Struthio camelus: one gene and its partner. Each later gene encodes a partner of the first gene's protein in a complex. Links are inferred from orthologs where the notes say so. Each region holds a gene or a part of one and is shown on either strand. Other genes may lie near its edges.

Evidence for each region.
Region 2: the proteins of PAXIP1 (region 1) and H2AX are in contact, whole or in part, in a crystal structure (PDB 3SQD), measured with the Homo sapiens proteins. The link is inferred for Struthio camelus from reciprocal best matches to the Homo sapiens genes PAXIP1 and H2AX. Residues at the interface, in NP_031375.3 of Homo sapiens: Phe871, Thr872, Gly873, Phe874, Pro876, Lys907, Thr909, Arg910, Thr911, Val912, Lys913, Pro986, Glu1050, Leu1053; in NP_002096.1 of Homo sapiens: Gln138, Ser140, Gln141, Glu142, Tyr143.

What each region holds. Positions count from the first base shown.
Region 1 is NC_090943.1:9,730,153-9,733,896, reverse strand, and holds the start of PAXIP1 (PAX-interacting protein 1), read left to right. Parts: upstream 1-1,015; 5' UTR 1,016-1,142; coding exon 1,143-1,229; intron 1,230-3,744.
Region 2 is NC_090963.1:94,028-96,996, forward strand, and holds H2AX (histone H2AX), read left to right. Parts: upstream 1-1,316; 5' UTR 1,317-1,431; coding exon 1,432-1,863; 3' UTR 1,864-2,360; downstream 2,361-2,969. UniProt on the Homo sapiens protein: Variant histone H2A which replaces conventional H2A in a subset of nucleosomes. Nucleosomes wrap and compact DNA into chromatin, limiting DNA accessibility to the cellular machineries which require DNA as a template.

The DNA of each region.
Region 1 (3,744 bases):
TTCTAAGGGAGAACGTCTGATTTTGGTAGTAATCAGTACTTTCATTAATGAGTAGGATGCCGGAATACCTAGTACGCCTATTAAATTTGCAGAGGGCTGCCAGCGGGGAGAGGTAACAACATTTTGGGACAGGACTGAATTTTGGAAGGTTCTCGACCGACTGAAGGAATGGTTTGAAATCAGAATAAAGCGCAGAACGTAGTAGGACACGTGCAGTACAGAAACGTTGTCACAGCTTGCAGTGGGGTTAGTCACGGGCGGTTGCTTGATTTCCCCTGAAGAACAGAGACGAAAGCCTGGTATCATGAAGAAAACGGGAGTCGCACAAGTGCTTTTTGGCTGTCACCAGGGTTTTGGAAACGGGGAGCGCGCTCCAGCCTCAGCGGGGCCCTCCTGAGCCACGCAAGGCCTAGCGCAGGGCCCGGGGCGCTGTGCTGCCAGGTGCCAGGCAGGCGTCGCCGGGGCGGGAAGGAGTTTCAGGCCGCCGTGTGACGGGGGGAGCGGGCCGCCCCCCAGCGCCGCCGCCGCCCGCGGCCGCTTCCCGCCCGAGCGCCCTGAGGGCGGCGAGGGGCGGCGGGGGGGGGGGAGGGGGGGGCGGGGCGGCGGGCGGGTAACGGTCCCCAGGGGCGCGGCGGGGGAGGCGGGGCCTGCGCTTGGGGGCGGGGCTCGAGGGCGGAGCGCTCCCTTCTCCTCTTCCCCCCCTCCCTCGCCTGTTTGCTAATGGGCGGGTCCGGGAATCCCCGCTGCCCGCCTCTGTCGTTCGGGGCGAGTCCATTGCGTTCCGTACGGGGGGGGAGCCGCGGGCCCGGAGGCTGGCTTCTGGTGCGGTTCGGAAAGCGGGGCAAGAGCGGAGATAGCGTCCGTGGAAGAGGAGCGGGCCTAGTCCTGCAACAGCCGGGGTGGCTGATCGGGCGGGGGGAGCCGCTTTGTCCCGGCGGCTCTCCCCTCCCCCCTCGGCCCCCCCTGCGTCCCGGCGGGGGATGGTGTGTCCCGCAGCGCGCGCCTTGCTCGCGCGGTTCGGCGGCTCGGCGGGGGGAGGGGACGGGAGACCCGGGCCCCGGCGGCTCTGCACAGTGCGCGCGGGGGATATTGGGGAGGGGGCGAAGGGGGGGGCGCGCGTGACGGCGGCCTCGGCCGGGACCATGTCGGCGGACGAGGAGGAGCTGAAAGTCCCCGAGGAGATGTTCAAAGATGTCAAGTTCTTCGCGGTGGGAGACATCGACCCCAAGGTACCGGGTCACCCTCTCCTCAACTCCGTTCCCCCCCCCCCGGGGGGGGCAGCATGGGCTCCTCCTGCTCCTCTTCTCTCCCCCCCCCCCCCCCCCCAGCACTTCACCGCGCGGGCTCGAGGCTCGCGCGCCGCCGCCGCACGCGCCGCGCTCCCCCGCGGGAGGGGCGGGGGCCGAGCGCGCGCGCGCGCCCTCCCTCCCTCCCTCCCAGCGCCCCCCCACCCCCGCCCCCGCCCCCGCCGCGGGGGAGCCATAACGGCCAGTAACGGCCGTGCCCGCGGCCAGCCGCGCCGCGACCCGCCATGGGAGCCAGCGGCCCCGGCGCGCAGGCCCCGTAGCCGCCTGAGCGGAGGAGGGGCGGGCGAAGGGACTTCCTGTTGGAGACGGGGCCGCTCCTCGGCCCCGGGCCTGGCCCGCCCGTGGAGCCGTGCGGCCCTCGGCGGACCCGACCGCAGCGCCGGGCGGGGGGCGGCAGGCAGCCTCTCGCCGTGCCGGCCCCGGCTGGGCCCCGCGCCCCTGGCTGTGGCCGGTGCAGGACGGGGGCAGTGACAGGCCGGCCCGGCGCCTGGGTGGCGGGGGGAGGCTCGGCAAACGAAGGCTTCGCTGTCACTTCCCTCCCCGCTCGCCCGTGCCTGCCCGCTCGGTCTCCGCCCTCCTCCTTGTGTCCCAGGAGCACAGTGCAGGACCCCCGTGGCTCCGCTGCCTGTCCCCGGATCTCTCAGGCCCATTGGACGGACAGAGATCCTGATGTGGTCACGACATGATCTTCCCTGCCTCGTGCTCCCCTAAGCTGCTGTCAGATGACCTTCCAGCCCTAGCACCTAGGGCAGTAGCCTGGATGTCAGGGCTGGCCTGTGGTAACATCCAGTTCTGCTGGATGGAAGTGCCAACAAAGTTTCCTCGGCATGTCCAATTAGACAAGTGTTTGAAGTGTGCCATATCTAGCTTTAGGACAGCAACTTCATGCTAACAGATTCCTGTGCATTTGATACTGAAATTTAAGTCTTGACTCTTTTGGTAGTTGCTGTAGTCTACCATTTGTTCAGTATCAGATTCCTTTCATCTCATGTTTTTTTCCACTTATGGGTGTTTAAACAAACTCGGGACATAGACATTGACCTATTTAAATGTTTTTTTGTGTTTTCACGTTAATAGGATTATATGTTAAATAAAGACTGGTAATGTAGTTGAAGAGTAGAAAAAACCCACAGCCTTTAGACATTAGCTATTTGAAAATGTATGAGAGCTTGAATAACACTATACATTTTTAAGAAGGTATAGCAGCAGTATTATTATATGTACAAAGATGAGTGCAGAAAACAACAGGACTCTCTTCTATATCATATGTATGGTGTCCCAAAAGGCATGTAGTTAGTTTTGTGTTGACGTAGCAAGACAATCAGCAGTATTCCCATAGAGCCAGTAAGCAATCATTCTCTTTTGCTAGTTTTTTTTTCTTAAGATAAATTTTATCTTGCTTAGCAGTTAACTTCGTTGTTGTCAAGCCTTAATGTGTTCTAAATTAGGTACACTCAGTTCTCATGTATTAGTGGATGACATTTCTGTGTTGTAGATAGACAGCTAAGGTGGCTCTGGCAGACTGTGTAAGCTTAGGCATAGCGCTACACCATAGTGGCTACCGCTGCTTCAGGTCATGCTGGAAGACTTTTAACCACTTTCTTTCTGTGTATGATGGCCAAATTGAAAAGTCCGATGGGTCTGAGTTGTTTCTGTAAACAGCCTGCTGGTCAGTTTGCACTCTTTCCTCCTGAGCTCTGGATGCTGAAATGGCTTAGTGCTTTGGCATAGGGTTAAATGGATGTCAGGACTTCTCAGCACTGGTGCCTGAGCTCATGAGCCCTCAGGAACATCAGGCACTGGGGAGTGCAGGTTGTGGTTCTGTGAGAGTCCTGTCTGGATTTGATTCAGCACCATCACAACCAAAGCTAATCAGAAGTGGGTTTTACTGAACTTGGGCAAGTTCCACTTAGGAACTTTTCACTGCTTCTCACAAGTACCCTCTGTGGTACCCTAGGGAAAAAATGAACAAGCAGGCTATTTACGTGTTGTGTTTTTAACCAGGACAGAAAGGAGAAAATCTAAATTAAATTCTACACATTTAAAAAAAATAGTTTCTATACTGAAATATTTATCCATTAGTATTATAAGAATACAGATATTTTCAAAATTATTTGCTTATTTATATACAAGTGGATACTAGCTTACTTTCAAAAAGAAGCTTCCTATTTCATCTTTTTCATCTTTATGCTTATCTTTTGGGGATGAGCATACTCTGATCAGCTTAAGTTTCCAAATGTTTTCATTGAAGGCTAGACATCCGAATCAATATTAAAACAGGCCTAGCAAAAATGAGGATTTTAATGAAACTAATCCAATAACAAGAACAAAATATAATCCATTCCGGTGAATAGCTACGTACCTACTACCTATTTAAAATATTTGCAGCATGAACTAGAAGGGAAACAAAAGTTTGGAATTGTGCCTAGATATTCTT
Region 2 (2,969 bases), on another chromosome or scaffold:
CCACCTCCAGTAGGTAACTGGCCGACCCTGGTCCCTGTAGTATCTGATCCTGGATACCTGGCTCTGAAGCATATTGCTTGCTGGCTAGTGCGACTTGATGTCCGCTAGCAATTACACAATCTGACATAGCCACTCACCTACAACCTGCACATACTCCAGTCCCCCCCAGTTGCTGGTACCACAGACTCATGGGCCTCTTTGGACGGTGGTCCAACTCCAGGTGCTGGCACTTAGACCTCCATGCATACACGTGCACACAGAATAGAGCGTCCCTTCACCGCAAAAAAAGCGAGAAATGCTTTACTAAGAGGACAGGACAGACCACGGTCTACCAAACCTACCAACCAGCAACATACGTACGCACAGCATTCCCCACTTCCTACCTTGTATTTTCTCGTGCTCCTATCTCCCAATCCCCTGTAACGCCTCCCTTCCCGGATCTTCCGCTAAACAACTCGTAATAAGTCTCACGCATTCCCACAATCCCCTGAAAGGATCACACAGTAAGCTTTGCACGTTCCCCCAATGGTCTTTCATGGTACCCCACTGTGAGCCCCATACCCCTGCAGGCAGGGACCCTCAGTCTGCGGGCATCTTGGGAGCGCCCAGCTCACCCCGGAGGTGCCCCTGCCAGAGGGGGCCCAGGCCCTGAGGCCAACCACCTCCCTGGAGGGTCCCAGGAGCAGCCTAGCTAGGGCAGCACCATGCTGATGGGGTCACTGGGGTCCCCCACCTGTTGTCGTTCCTCTAGCCCTTTGGGGTACTGTGACTAGCCCTTACATAACCTAGCAGGCAACACAGTTAAAGCTTGTTATCTGGCACTGATCTAGAACTGTTACCTGCAGGCAACGTGCCACAGTCAGAGCTGACCAAAATAAACCTGATGTTTCTCCTCTCAGGGGTACTGTCACTCGTGTGTAAATGCTTTTGCTGCCTCAGGGCTGTCCAGAGGCGCAAGCGGCTCTCTGCGATACAGTCGGCGCGGCCGAGGAGCTCTCGCGGCAGGAGCTGCCCCCCGCCGGGGGAAACGGCAGCCCCGCGGCAGACAGCGAGAGCCGCACCGCCGGGCCGGGGCCGCCGCCGCCGCCGCCGCCGCCGCGCCGCTCCGCTCCCTACCACAGCGCGCCGCACCCCTCCCCCAGCGGCGCGCCCCAACCGCCCCGCACGGTATGAATTTGGCGCCCTGCCTCCTTATTGGCCTGTCGCAGTCGCCAATGGACTCGAGGCGAGCGCGGTCAGATGGCAAAACCGACCAGTCAGCACAAAGGTTCTTCCAGGCGACGCACCAACGGCGAGGCGCGGCGACGCTGTCCAATGAGCTTGGCCCTCCTTTGCCAGAGGCTATAAAGAGGCTGGGTGAGGGGCCCGCCGCCCCGTTTCGCGACGCAGCTGCTGCGCGGAGGGTGCGAGGCGACAGCGTAGCGAGGCGCCATGTCTGGCCGTGGCAAGAGCGGCGGTAAGGCCCGGGCTAAGGCCAAGTCTCGCTCGTCGCGGGCCGGGCTGCAGTTCCCCGTGGGGCGCGTGCACCGGCTGCTGCGGCGCGGGCACTACGCGGAGCGGGTGGGGGCCGGCGCGCCCGTGTACCTGGCGGCCGTGCTGGAGTACCTGACGGCCGAGATCCTGGAGCTGGCGGGCAACGCGGCCCGCGACAACAAGAAGACGCGCATCATCCCCCGCCACCTGCAGCTGGCGGTGCGCAACGACGAGGAGCTCAACAAGCTGCTGGGCGGCGTCACCATCGCGCAGGGCGGCGTGCTGCCCAACATCCAGGCCGTGCTGCTGCCCAAGAAGACGGGCGGCGGCGGCGCGGGCCCCGCCAAGGCCGGCAAGAAGGGCGGCGGGCAGCAGTCGCAGGAGTACTAGGGCGGGCGGCCGAGCCCCACCGACACCACACAAAGGCCCTTTTCAGGGCCACCCACATTGCTCAGCGAGAGAGCTGCGATCCGCGGGGGGGGGGGGGGGGGGGGGGAAGGGGCGCCACCGCGGCCCGCCGCCGCGCCCGGAGGCGGCGCCATGGTCCGCGCCGCGCCGCCCTTCCGGCCGCCGGGGGGCTTCCTGCGCTCGCCCCACGTACTTCCTCCGCCTGCAGCCGCGGGGGGCGGGCCTGGGTGCCCCGGCCTCCACGCGGGGGGCTGGGGGGGGGGGGGGAGAGCCAGGCTGGCTGGGGGCCCCGGCAATAACGGAGTGAAACTCCTACACTGAAACTCCTACGCCACCCCGCTCCACTGCGATCAAAAGTACTGTAAATACAAGCGCTGCTCCCCAAAGTCCTTTGGGTCCTTTAAGTTAACTGTATTTATTGGCTGTTACGTTCAGTGGACGCTGCCTCGAGAATAAACAATGCTTCATTTCCAAAACGATACCCCAGTAAGATGCCATGTCCGTGTTCCTACAAGGCACTGTAACGCAGGAGCTCTGGAGAGAGAGTCTGCAAATGGAACTGGACATGTCAACTCTGAACTGTAGTACAAGGAAAGAGCCAACAGTTATAGAAAAAGGCATAAACAACCCCTGTTTTTCCCTCTTCAAGTTTAGCTCAAAGTTGATTAGCTATCGTATACCAATGACTGTCTCAGATTATAACTATCCAGGGATAAACGAGCCACCCACTTACTTCCCATCATAATTAATTACTGGCTGATGGCAAATTTAGGTCTGATACTTCAAACTTAATTCTTTACCTGAGACCTATGATGAACATAGTGTCCCTGGAACTTTACTATGAAGATCCCCTGTATTAGGAGCCTTATTCAGCTCCCTCGTGGCAGTCTTTCTGATGAGTGAACAGGCCCAAATAGTATTCAAAGGATTATGCAAGTTCTATAACTACTGAACGTACATTATTTTCTTTAGTGCTGTCACAGCTTAGTCTTTGATTATAATCTGTATTCAGTTCCTTATTCCTAAATGCTATAGGAGAACATTTCCCAAATTTTTTGACTTTCTAATGACAACAATAATTGAAACGA